2 linked regions of the Rhinolophus ferrumequinum genome follow. The protein of the gene in region 2 interacts with the protein of the main gene of each other region in a pairwise test. Links are inferred from orthologs where the notes say so. Each region holds a gene or a part of one and is shown on either strand. Other genes may lie near its edges.

Region 1 (7,123 bases), on a different chromosome or scaffold from region 2:
GCAGTTTCTCAAAAAGCTAAACATAAAACTATGATATGACCTGGGATATAACTATTCCTAGTTATATCTCCAAGACACATAAAAGCGTATGTCCACACAGAGACTTAGATGTGAAGTAGAGTTTGTGGTGGCATTATTTGTAAGAACCCAAAACTGAAAACAATGTCCATCAATGAATGTGTAGACAGAATGTGGCCTTCCCACACACTGGAATATTATTCAGCAATAAAAAGGAACAAGCTACTAACACATGCTATGTCGTACATGCACCTCAACAACATTGTTAAAGAAGCTAGACATGACAGACTCCATATTGAATAATCCCAGTTATAAGAAATGTCCAGAGAACGCAAATTTATACCGACAGAAAACATATTAGTAGTTTTCTGGGGCTGAGGGTAGGAAAGAGGATTAACTAAAAATGGGCATAAGTGATCCTACTGTGGTGATAAAAATGTTCGAAAATTGATCTATGATGAAGGTTGCACCACTTGGTCAAGTTACTAAAAATCAATGAATTGTACACTTGGAATGAGTTAACGTTATAATATGTACAATATACCTAACAAAGTTCTTTTTAAAAATGCATGTGCTTTTGTTTCTTGTCCCTTGAAGAATTAAATGAGTAACTTTAGATTGTAGCAACTTCTATAATTTGTATTAAACAAACAATTGTACTAATTCGAATCGTGGATGGAAAAACCACAATCTAACTTTAGAGAGATTCTAACATAGTGTTAGGACACCCCTCCGCATGGTTGCTCATTGGACAGGGGTCCTCCAGGCAAAGGATTTCTCATAAATCAAAGCACCTTCTGTTTGTTTATATTTTAAGAAGCCAGTGCCTGGAAGCAGCTCAAGAGTAACACATACAAAAGAGATTTAAGTTGTCCCTTGACAATGGGCCAATTGATGTGATGGGTGTTTTAGTCTATATTCATGTTACAGTTGAAGAATTTAAAGAAACAAACAAAAATGTTAACACAATTTAGGACATAGGATAAGTTATCTAACTTTGAGAGTGTACATACATGTCCAGATAGCAAATGCACCATTTGATGGAGTAATTGCATCATGCTGAAACACAACAGTCCTCAGCAATACCGTTTAATGACAAGTAATGTTTCAGGCATCAATCCAATCCCTAGATCTTCCTATATTCATTTTAAAACATATGCTCACTACCCACTCTATTTATGAGGTCTTTCCAAAACAACCCAAAAGTTCACAGCCCTCATGGGACTTCAAAGAATTTTACCACCTTTTAAGGCCTGGACACACACCCCACCTTGTCTGTGAGTTCTTGCCTGACACCTTATTGAAAATTGCTAACCAAACAAAACTCCCTAGCCTCCCTTCCCTGATTCATTTCTCTCAATAGCACTAAACATACTATGCATTTTACATATACACTGTGATTATTGTCTTCCCCTACTAATATGAACTCCACCAAAGGAGGGATTTTAATCTGGATTTGTTCCTTGCTGGATCCCTATTCTCTACAGCAGTGCCTAGCACATTGGAGGTGCTCAATCGGTATTTTCTGAACAAACTGTATTTCTGAAAGGGTATCAGATATGTGTAAGGAAATAAGAGCTGATTCTGGCAACAGGAATGAACACTACGTTTCTTCTATTGAATAGATTTAAGATGAAAATATGAATTTTAAAGGAAATAGAGGTCTCAGAATAAAATCTCCAAACTGTCTATCCAAAGCAAAAAGAATTAAACAGCCAACATTCTACTTATAATTCTGGATTTGCAACAATCAAACAAAGTATTTTTAATAAGCTGGTTCTAGTTCTGGAAAGAGGACAAATTAATTAAATCCCATGTGACTCCTGTTAACAACAACAAAAAGGAAAGTTTAATAGTTAACTAGCATGGAGGAAAAATTCCGATAGCAGCCTGTTTTTCTACATCCAAAATGGTCTCTCATCATCAACAAAACAGACCTTAGCAGAATCCGCTTTAGCGGTTCTGGCCTCCTCGGCCCCACACCTCACTGGGTCCGACACCAAGGAAACTTTTTTCTCCCCTCATCCCAGAAGCCTTCCTAGAACCACTGTACACACGCCAACCAACCTTCAGACTTGCCCGTTGTAATTAACCCGGCCCAATCCAGCTGCATTCCAGCGGTTCACACGCCCAGCAGAAAGACCGACCCACCACTCGGCCCCCAAACATCCCCTAAACAGTCAGCCGCACCAACGCAGAGTCTTGGAGCACGAAAGAATCAGGATGGCAAGGACCTCCAGCCTGGCCAGAACTGGAAGACATTTTGCACTTCATCCTGGTTCTGCCAATTTCTGTGTGACCTTGGGCACTGTCCTAAACCTCTAGGGGTCCCCGTTTTCTCACCTTCGAGGTGAGGATGACAGCTTCAGCAAGTTGCTGTTAGGATTAAATGAAATCACACGTCAAGCACCGAACAGGGCACCTGGCACGACACGGGAACTGGAAATCATCAGTGACGGATGTCATCCCCCAGCCCTACCCATACGGTCTCAGAGCCGAGGGCGCCTTACCGAGCAGCCCACTCTCCCGCTTTCGGAGGACAGGGCGCCGAGGTCCGGGAGGCAGGAGCGCCTTGCTCCCCGACACCCGCCAGGCAGCTGGGCGCCGGCCCCAGAACCCGGGCGCCGATCCCCCGCCCGCTGCCCGGCTCCAGCCGCCGCTGCGGGGCCAGGCGGAGCCCAGCGCTGCCCCCCGCCCTCCCGGGGCCCCCAGCTCCGCGCGGCCCGGGGCCGCCCCACCTGCCGCCAGGCCCGGGGCTCCGGGGCTCCGGGGCCCCCGCAGCTCGGCCCGCCGCAGCGCCGCGGGCGCGTACTCACTCTTCACTTTGCCGAAGGTGCCGACGCCCAGTGTGTCCCCCAGCACGTAGTGGCCGATCTTCACCCGCCCGTCGTGCTTCTGCTTCTCAGCCATGTTCAGCGCGCGCAGCCGGGCTCCGCCGCCGCCGCCGCCGCCGCCGCGGGCTCCCGAGTGCGGCCGCCGCCGCCGCCGCCGCTTACCCACAGTGCAGCGGGCCCGCGGTGGGGGCGGGGGGCAGGGCCGGGGCCGCGGCGCGGGGAGGCCGGGGGCGCCGGGCGGGGGGGCAGGGACCAGGTGGGGAAGGCCCGCGAGCGGCGGGCGGGGCGCGGGGGCGAATGCGCGGGGCCCCCGCGACAGGCGGCGACAGTGGGGGCTGGACCCGGGCGCCCAGCGAGGGAGGGGTCCCCGAGCGGGGGGCGCGGGGTCGGAGGATGACAGGTGTGCGAGGTCGGGGTGCAGGGGACCGCGCCCCTTTACCTGGGGGAGAGGCTGGAGGGCGAGAGTGGGCTATAGGGGCCCATTATGGGGAACACCGAAGGGAGGGACAATGTGAGGGTGAGATTTGGGCCGAATCCTAGGGAATGGAAAGAGATTGGAAGTAGAATTTTAAAAAAGACAAACAGACCCAAAGAGTGGGGAGAGAGGAGATGTAGAAACGACTACGTGAGTCGAAGGGAAGTTGGGTAGGAGGCGACGGGAAAGGCCTTGATTCGGGAGCAGTCAGGGAGCCTCAAGGAAGTCGCTCAGGCTGAGTGTTTGAGATACAGGTCACGGCACATGGAGAACTCAAATCTGTGCTCCATTCAGTCGTCCGCCACGTATATTATAATTCTCGATTATTTTCTCCTATAGGTGGAAGAGACGCTCTCCTCCCGAGCTCTCAATTCTAATTTGCACAACATTCTCCAATAAATCACAGCCGCATATTTGCTCAATTGTGTTTTAGCACATGCTTATATTAATACATAGCGTCGAATAGTTTGCGATGGAACTGTGCAGAAACAGTGAAAGAAATGAAAAGGGAAACTGAATGCAGTGAGCATAGAAAGTAAAATACATAGGGGCAAAGAGAAATTGTTAAAAGCAAGGGCAATTTCCTGTACATGGTGATGGAAAGAGAACTGACTCTGGGTGGTGGACACACAATGTGATATATAGATGATGTATTATAGAATTGTAAACCTGAAGTTTATGTAACTCTACTAACAGTTGTCACCCCAATAAACTTTAATTTTAAAGAAAGCAAGGGCAATTTAAATGCACAAATTAATGAAAGAATAAATGTGATAAAGATAGAAGTGGGGGGAAAAATGGTGAGAGGAAACTAGACTGACAAGAATTTAGTAATGAAGTGATTATATATCCTTCCCTCCCTACCTCCCTTTCTTGTCCTATTCTTTAATGTTGCCTATCTTAACAGTGCTGAAAAAATATTGGCTGCTTGATAATAATGTGTAAGGATTAGTTGAACATTTTAAACATTGTGTATGACAATAGAGTTTCAAAGTCACATTCCTCAAACAAGAAGTCACTTACCACACTGTTTATATGTAAAGAGAGAAACGTATTGATCAGAAAGAATGCGAGGTAACAAAAATTGGTTTTTTAAGAAACGATAAATACACAAATGGCACACATACATCATTCTTGTTTACACACCAAAACAATCTGATGAGAAATGATCACAGCTTATAAATTATAGATATCACAGCTGTTGAACAGAGGCTATTTTTATTCATTCTTGCGATCATCTTTCTTGCTGACAAGAAGTATCATTAAGAATCACTCTACCTAGCTGGCAATTTGGAGAAAATAGCCAGTTATTTTAGATACTAAACTTTCATTTGGTAGGGTCACTCCTCCAGTGTTCATTCAGATGAATGAGAAAACAAAATACCTCTTCAGTTTTTGCGATATAAGATGTATGTCTGTCTCTTGTGCTAACATTCCGTTAGAAGATGTTGAAAAGTCTATTAGATTGTTTTCTTGAAGCTACATGAAGACAGACTATAAATAGATATTTTAAGGCATTTTGCACTGTCTTAACTATTTGTTGATAATTACAACTTACGTTATTATACATGTCGTAACAATGATCCTTACCTAGCTACAATGAACTACCTTTATTTTTATGTCAAACAAATGTATGATACTTTGTTGATTAAAAAGTTCATTTAAACACAAGTATCTCATTTAATTGTCATAAAAGAAACTTATGATTATCCCCATTTTATAGATAATAAAACTTAGTTTTTCCCTTTCTGATTTGTCCAAGGCTAATCAGCTAAGTGGCAGAGTCAGACCTCACATCTAGTTTTGACCTACCCTTTACCTCTACTATACCACAGCTGCCTATAAAAACGTGGTGCTCCGTGTAAGTTTAAAATCTTCACAATTGTAGTCCCATTCTTGTTTTTTTGATTTTTTTGTTTTTTATTTCTAGGACAGGCCAATAATATGCCCTTTAAATTTATATTTTTAGCTCTTTTCCTGACCTTTAGCTCTTTTAGAGAAAAGGTTGAATGTTAAGTGGGTGAGAAGGGTGGAAAAGGACAACGTCTGGCAGCACTCAGCCTTCTAGTGCCCTGAACATTTTAGATATGGTTCCATCCTTGCCTCTCCCTACAGAGCAATACAGTATGACAGTTAATCAGACCAAATCTCCTTAACAGTCATGCCCCTTGAGGATTCACTCCCTAAAGATGTTCTGGTAAGCACAATATTCCCCACTTTATTATTTTCCAATGATGTTTTCGTGTCCATGTGTTATTTAGTACCAATCTCTGAGATTCAGTGGACCAGGCAGCTATTTACTTCTTAACCCTATTCCAACTATTACTGCTTTACCCTCCTACTACTGGGTCTTTGGGGTTACTTTACTTCAAATATTCTAAAGCAAGGCCTGGATAGGAGAATAATGGAGTACCACTAATCTAATAAACTACATTCCACTGGTATTATCAACAACCAGTTCCTTCAAGTCTTCTCAGGGTCACCTTCTGCGTGAGGCCTACCGGCTCTGACCAGTCCTATTTATTGCAGTTTCACCTCACTCATACTCCCTGCCCTGAACTCTCCATCCCCTTAACTTCCTCAGCTCTGTCTAACATACTATTTACTTGTTTACTCTGTTTTTTTTGTTTTGTCTGTCTCTCCCAAGTAGAATGTAAGCTTCACGAGAGTGTTTTTCTCTATTTTGTTCACTGCTGTTATCCTCAGTTCCCAGAACAGTGCCTTACAAATAAATTATAGGCACCTGAGTAGATTCGGGCTGTGTGACATCTAATGTTTATACAATGTGGGGGTCCTCTTTATGGGGAAAAAAAATGCAAAATTGGTCATGAAAGCAAATATTTCTTTGAAATGAAATAAACTATCTACAAATAATTTTTAAACTGACAACACAAACATCCCCGAATTCAGAAAAAAAAAATCTATATAAATTAACTATCCCACATATCTTTATAATGCTTATTTTCTATATTTTTTGGTTGTATATTCTTTGATTGCCTCTTCATATTTTGTAACATTTTTTATAGAGAGAATAGAAAGATAATTCTGTCCTTCCTCTAAAGTGATTGATTTTTTTGACTGCATATTTCGCTTCAGGATTCCCATAGCACTTTTTTCATATCGCTAATACAGCATCTATCGATTCTGTTATTTTATATATATATATATATATTTCATGTCTAAATTAATATTTTATATATATGTATATATATACGTATATATAAACAACATACTCCATCTGCTGTTTCTAGGGCCCAACGGAACTTGGTACATCATTCCAGAAATATTTGTTGAATTGAAATAAAGAAGATGGTTATTAACCTATGGAATTAAGGAACAAGAACACAGGGAAGAGCACTTTAAAAAGAAGTCAAACTTAATAAGTTCATTTTATGCATATAACTGTTAAATACAAAGCATAATTTTCCATCTTGGGGTAGGTAGGAGTCACTAGTGTGGTTGGAGTTAGGCATCAGCCAGAACATACTGGACCTTATAGATTCATGATAAGGTGTTTCTGTTATTGTTCTCCAGTCTACCATAAAAAAAAACCTAGACACTCAGTGATTAATGAAGTGTGTTGATGATATCTTATATGTAATACAAGCCAAATAATTACTTCTTTTTTATTTCTATTATGAAAATCTGTAAACATACACCAAAGAACGATAATATGTCAATGATTAGCGACATTGTCAACATTTACCAATCTACCTTCGCATCAATCTACCTGCACATTTCAAATTGCTTTGTTTCCTGGGGTGTTTTAAAGCAAATAACCAGATACATTATTTCA
Region 2 (6,999 bases):
TTTCAGTGAAAAAGGGAAAATCCTCCTCTCCTTTCAACATCTCCCTCTGATACATTCCTGTGGTGGCTATAATACGGCTCCCATTTACTCATACAAACTGCTATTAAGAACAAGTTGATTGTTCATCCTAGTCCTTCCCAACCCGCATCTGTTTCTTGCAAGATATTTTCCAGGCCTGAGTTTGCTCACTGTTTAAAATTCCTATTAGAAACAGATGCTAAGGAGGTTACAAAAAGATCTCCCATAGAGCTGATGCTATCTGTTCCTGTTAACTTTGTATTAATGAAGCATGTTTGGGTAATTTTCTCCCCCTTCCCCTGGCAGTCCACCTCTGAGATGTGGAAGGGGTTTAACCCACTTTCCTCCCTTCCCTGTTCTGCCTCCAGCTCACACTCAGATCAAGAGAGTCCCTATTTGTGTGAGATCCCAGGCACAGCTGCTTCTCCAGGTAACCACCTGATCTCAGGAGCTCTACACAGCCTTAGGTTATAGCAATTTGCATTTTCTCAGCAGGTCAACTACGGTACTGGCCAGATTTCTTATTTTGTCTTTTCCTAAAACTACAGGCATTAAAATAAGGAAAAGCATTTTTGTAAGTTAACATTTGAACATAATTTGGAGACAGGGCAGATTTAGGGTGCACGGGGCCTTACATTTAGATAATGGGAGGTGGGAGTGGAGTGGGGAAAAGTGTCCTCATTTAATAAGAATCCAAAATTATCAATATACACATGGTATGACCATGTGAGCATATTGCTAGTGGCCCTCCCAGGGGCTCGGAAGAAGCCTAAGGGGGGGGCCTGTGGCTTACGATTCATTAGCTTCCCAGCCAATCCACCTCTGCTGGGAGATATAAAAGACTAGAGAGGTTTATACCGCAGCACTCAAATCTGTAGAAACCTGCTAAGCATAACAGTCTTATGTTACATCAGTCCTCTAGATACTATTCTTATCTCTCTTTCACAAACCTCCACCCGCTGCTCCCTCTAATTTGATGGCAGCAATTCATTATAAAAGTGCGTGGGCTGGGCTGGGCTTTAACAATCCAGTACTGTGCCAATTATGCAATAGCCAAAACAGCCAGTTTAATGGAGTACGAAAAGCAAAGTCGGAGTTCTTACATAAGCCTTCATACACCATCCATAAGATCTGCTCCCAGACTGGAGTCTCTGGAATTACATAAGGTAGATGGAAAACACTGATTCAGCAGCCAGGTTTATTTCTGACCTTAAAAACAATCAAAGCTTTTTGCATTTAATTTACTAGTCTCTATTAACATACGTTTTTAATTTGATGGAGAAAACAATCTTTAATAAGACTTGCCATCTTTTCATATAAACATAAAGGGACAGCCTGACACTGCTACTCAACTTCCCTGTCACCTGTGCACAAAGAAATGTCCCACTTAGGATGCCCCTACATATTCAACACGAAATTACGGGTCTCTGATAAACATCAACTACTCTTTGCCAGTTTAAAAAAAAAAAAAAAAATCAAGAAAGATACTTAGACAAAAATACAAAAGTGTACATGCTATAATTCTTCAACACATGTCCTTTCCAATACCATTTTTCTCTTCCCCATATTTTTAACCACTTATTTATTTATTTTTTTGTTTTACTTACTTTAAACCACTGTAGCCACACCTGGGGCTACAAAGTGACAAATTTTAAAACACAATGCTAGCCAATGGGTCTCACCCCTGGCTACACATGACAACAACCAACAGAGCTTTTAACATTACAAATGCCACAGCATCACCCAAAACCAATTAGAATGAAATACTGGGGTAGGGCGCAAAAGGGGGTGCCTGACATCCGTATATCTGATGCTTTCTACTTTTGTCTTCTTACCTGAAAATAACCATAAATATGATAGCAGGTTTGGGGGTAGGAGATCTTTAGTAACTGGCAGCTCATAATTACTAAGTTTCCATCAGCTATAAAAGTAAACTCGTGCTATAGATTAAAAGCTATAAAGGATATCTGTGGGATCCTTTTTTATTACTATTGATAAGTAGTCAAAAATTTTTCACCAAGTTTCTTAATGGCCTTTACAAAACCTACCTTATTTTTTAATGTTTAACAATTCTACCTAATGAGTTCAAAGACAGGGCCCTATACTATCTTAAAGGGTGTCTCAAGCTAAGATCATGCTTATCTTCAAGTAAAGTTTTGGTTTAAAGTAGAAATGATGGTTCTCACCTATCTTCACCCTCCCTTCTTAGATGCTCTGATAATCCCATTTATAACTTTACCAATTAGCAAATATGTTTTTCAAGCCCTTACATAACAGAGAGTACAGGCGCCTTTGGTATCCTGCCAAGAGTACTTCTTGCCGTGTTTGTATTTAAAATAGAATGGTAGTAACATCGCTTGTGTGCCTGAAATTCCTTCTGTGCACAGGCTCCGAATGAGAAAATGGATGTAGCAAACCGCTTCGCTGCTTTACCATTATAAAGCTCAAAGGAAAGAATACAGACTAAATTAAGACGAAGACACAGAATTACCCAAAGCTGGGGGCAGGGAAGGGGGCTCGGTTTAACTAACCTACCATCCCCTCCAAGACCGAGGATGTTTAACCTGGCAGCACGCGAAGGTGCCAAACGAGCTGCAACACCTCCGCCCCAGCAGGGAATGTGGCAGGCCAGAATAAGTGCCACGATGACAGAAAAGCCAAATAAACGCTGCGCTGCCCGCCCCGGCTGCGATCACTCCCCAACGCCGGCACCTGTCTTCCCGCGGGTTCCAGAAGGCAGGACCAGAGCCCAGCCCTGAGTGCTGAAGGATGCGCTCACCTGGGTGGGAAAGAGCCAAGAAAGGTGTCCAAGAAGCCACCACTGCTTTAATGGACTCTCATCCCGGACCGGTTCCGACACGCTCCCTCCTCTTCTTCCTCCTCCAGCTCGAGTTTTCTATTTAACGACAGGTCGGGACTCCACTGACCGGCAAAGGATGTCCTCAAAGGGGGGCGACAAACTTGCCAAGAGAAGCCGGCAGACGTGGCGCAGGTGGAGAGCAAGGGACGCCCCCGCACCTGGGGCCGGCTCGTCAACGCTGTCCCCACGGTCGCGCAGGCCCCGCCCAGGCCGCCGCCCGCTCCGAGCGCCGGGGCAGCGGGGGACGCGCACGGGGGCCGTCGACGGGGCGCCGGGGCGCTGCCCTCCCGGCCGCTGCAGCGCTGTCCCTGCGGCCGCCTCCGACGGACAAAGGGAAGCCGCGGAGCGGCGGCGGCGAAGCCCGGGCTCCGGAGCGCACCGCGCAGCCCGCGCAGCTCGTGAGGTGCGGGCCGCGGTGACAGCCGCCGGGCGGCGAGCGGGCCCCCGCGGGAGGGCGGCGGGGACGGCAGCGGCGCGCACCCTCGCGGCCGCCGGGAGACGCACACGGCGGGGCCCCGGACGCCTCCTCCCGGCCCCGCGGTCCGCAGCCCCGCCGCCGGGAGCCGTAGCGCCCTCTGCCGGCCACGCGGCCGCCGTACGCGCGCCATCTGCTCCATCTCCCCGCGGGCTCGTGGGCGCCCAGCGACATCGCGGTCCCCGAGCGAACCCGCGACTTCAGGGGAAGCAAGGGGTAAGACAGGAGGCGGGGGCTACAGGGCAGGGAGCTGCGCACAGTGGGATCTGCTGTTACCCTCTTGGGAAGGAAGAGGGAGCATCTTCGAATTAGGAGCAGCAGGATGAGTTAGGATTCAGCAGTGGGAAGAACTTGGAGGGCGGGAGGATTCCCGGTGCTCAAGGAGCCCAGAGTTGATCTCTGGAAATGTCTCCGGAAAAGGCAGGCGTTTCTTTCTAGAACCAGGTTTATGTCTGTGTTTAACAAGCACCAACTGTGCCTAACTCTGTTCGAGAGGTTCTAGAGAACCTTGACACCTCTGATGAATAAATATATTAATGACTTCCCGAGGACCCTTCCAGTCCTGCGTGAAATGCTCCCCGCTGCCCTAAGCAGTGCTCCTAGAAGGTTTGGAAAGGCAGGCGAGGTCAGAGAGCTTCAGCTTCCTCTGGTTCCCACAGCAGGGGAATAGACATCTACCATTATGAAAAGGAAATGCTGGGGCTGGTCTTTGCACTATTTAGGTGTTTTTTTAAGGTGGGGTCATTTTTCCAAACTACCATGTTAAGCAATATTTTATACCAGTTAATTTTATTAACAAGCTGGACTATTTGGTGAAATCATGAAGCAGCACCTTTTTTTTCCACACCACTGTCTTTTTAAATTATTCTATCAGATCTCCCTTCTCCTCTAGCAGAATCTAGGGCAGATTTCATAGCTTTTCCTGTCACTTTCAGGTGTTAATCAGCAGTCTGATTCTCCGGTATTAAAAAGTCCAGTCCAATTCAAATCAAAGCGTCAGTCCCATTCCACTTAAGCCTTCCCCAGACAGCTCCCACACCCACCAGCTCCCATCCTGACCCAAGCTCAGAGCCTGCCTGGGGAAGAGAAACGTCACTTTTTCCTTTCTTGTTCTACATCCTCCCAGCTAGCCCTGTGAAGACTGATGCTTCCAGGGTGGCAGGGTGAGACTTGTCCCCTGCACCAGGCCCTGGTCCTCGCTTCCAAGTCCGCTTTCTCCTCCAGTAGTCCCTTCACACAGACCCTCTGCAAGGTCACCATTGTGGCAGATCCCACTATGTTCCACCATGTCTGTACAGGTCACTGTGACAGCAGAATACCGTCCTCATTCCCTGGTCACAGGCAGCTCTGACCAGCCTCTCTCCTTGAAGCTTCTCGTGTAGGAGTCAGGCAGCCATCTCTGGACTCATGCATGTCCCCAAACCCAGGTGATACATGCCAAGCAGTACACGTTCTTTTGCATGAAGTAGCTGTTATACTCTGCTCTCCCTCACAGCACCCTATAATTCTCACTGCCCGCCTTCTCCCTGACCTCTCTCCCCTTTCCTTCAATTTGGGCTGACGGCGGCAGAACCCTTACTCAGCATATCATACAAAGGTGGGCCAATGCCGCTATTTGAAATGTGGAGACACCTCTTTCTGTGGCAGCCACGGAGGCATGCCACTCAAATCTCAAGAGTATAAGTGACAGCCTCCAGCTGGCACACCTTTGGATCCAGCATGGCGCTCACACCAAGGTCACACATCCTGCCATCTGTTCCCAGCCCATGGCTAAGTCTGATGGGAGAGCTGGAGCTGGGCTGTTTCTGCCTGGCGCAGGACCCCTCTACTGGGCGGTGTTTGTTCCAGAACTCCCCATCACCCGAGCCCTGCAGTCTGGAGCTCTGTCTATCCAGCCTCCCTCCCATCCTTTCACAGATGTCAGCTCCGTATCATAGTTGGAAAGCAATCCTCACCCACACGCCAACCTCCTTCTCCCTCCTCCACTACCCCATACAGGTGTTTTCTCAACATTTCTTCTGCACATCTAACCCTTCTTGGCATCTGCCTCTCAAAGGTCTCCAACTGGCACAGTCATCTAATGTTCCCAGCAGGTATTCTAAGACAAGTCCCATTTTAACACTTGGTTATGCTTGTATTTAGAAACTGTGAAAATAAGAGTAGAATGTTCTTTTGTGGGGACAATGAAAAAACGATCAGTATAGCCGCCCACCCACCCAAGCGGAAGCTGAATAGGAGTTGGATGCAGAGAGGTTCTTATTGTAGGTGAGCCCAGGAAGCAGTAGTGATGAAATTGAAAGATTGAGACAGGGAAGCACGAAAAGTCACTACAAAGATGTGTTATCAAGGTCACTGCTATTCACAACAGGTGCTCAGTACAGCAGGATCTCTGAGAAGCTTAGAAAGTCTTCCCAGAATTGTCGTTTCAAAGACAGGGGCTGAGCAGTGACCATCTGGCTCCTATTCTCTGTGTATTGGAGCTGCCTTTGGGGCTTTAACTCCCACAAAATTCCAGTCACCCAGAGTTTTAGAAAAGACCCTGCAGCATCCTTTTATTGGGGGGGGGAGAGATTCAGGGGCATCATCAGCTTGAGTTGCAGCTCGCAGGAGGTCCAAGAGCAGCCAAGGAGATGTGGTACAGGACATCAAAAGTGTCTGCTACAGCAGGTATCACAGATTCCCACTGACTTCCCAGACTGAGGGGCACACAGGTAGTCAAAGGCATCTGCCCTGTGTAATTCCAAGTTGCTGAAATGTCCGTGGAAAAAGACAGAGGAAGAAAGGGTAGGGCAGTGTTTGCAAGTCATGATGACACTTGGCAGGGGACTGGTGTCTTAGTTCATTCGGGCTGCTGTAACGAAAATACCACAGACTGGGTGGCTTATAAACAACAGACATTTATTTCTCACAGTTCTGGAGGCTGGAAGTCTAAGGTCAAGATGCTGACAGATTTGGTGTCTGGTAAGAGCCAGCTTTCTAGACAGCCGTCCTTTCACTGTAACCTCAGGATGGACAGCGTAAGGGAGTTCTCTGGGGTCTCTTTCATAAGGGCACTAATCCATACATGGGGGTTCTACCCTCATGACCTACTCACCTCCCAAAGGCCCCGCCTCCTAATACTGTCACATTGGGGGGTAGGTTTCAACACATTCTGGGGGGGCACAAACATTCAGATGATAGCAACGGGTTTACCACACCTCAGGATGTTACTAGGGGTCAGAAACTGTGGGAAGAAGGAGGCCAGGATCAGACAGAGGGAGTAACTAGACTGTAATTCAAGTCCGACAAAGCCTCAGCCAGACCAGGGGAGCTCTGGAGCACATACAGACTGGTGTGCCCGAGGCTGTTCACAGCAGCTTGCAGGCACCAATTATTCAATGTCTTGGAATTTTGTCAGCCAGTAGTTAAACACAGCCATCATCGAAGATTAAATTATATAAACTTATAATTTTATGTATATTATATTAAAAACAAAGTTAACTCTTCATCACTCATTATTCTGCTATGTGTATAAGGTCTGACAATTAAGTTCGAGGACTTGTTGCAACGATGTTGCTAACTTTTTTGATATCAGAGGGGTTATTCATTAGGAATTTGTACCCACTGGACAGTTAACCAAGTTTACTATTAGTGAAAAGTGCTGAAA

What was found.
Region 1: the proteins of MTUS2 (region 2) and PRKAA2 interact in binary tests that used the Homo sapiens proteins (3 or more experiments, as listed by UniProt). The link is inferred for Rhinolophus ferrumequinum from reciprocal best matches to the Homo sapiens genes MTUS2 and PRKAA2.

The regions. Positions count from the first base shown.
Region 1 is NC_046292.1:40,695,417-40,702,539, reverse strand, and holds the start of PRKAA2 (5'-AMP-activated protein kinase catalytic subunit alpha-2), read right to left. Parts: upstream 3,015-7,123; 5' UTR 2,929-3,014; coding exon 2,835-2,928; intron 2,665-2,834; exon of another isoform or gene 2,529-2,664; intron 2,498-2,528; exon of another isoform or gene 2,362-2,497; intron 1-2,361. UniProt on the Homo sapiens protein: Catalytic subunit of AMP-activated protein kinase (AMPK), an energy sensor protein kinase that plays a key role in regulating cellular energy metabolism.
Region 2 is NC_046287.1:100,557,948-100,564,946, reverse strand, and holds the start of MTUS2 (microtubule-associated tumor suppressor candidate 2), read right to left. Parts: upstream 3,105-6,999; 5' UTR 2,798-3,104; intron 1-2,797. UniProt on the Homo sapiens protein: Binds microtubules. Together with MAPRE1 may target the microtubule depolymerase KIF2C to the plus-end of microtubules. May regulate the dynamics of microtubules at their growing distal tip.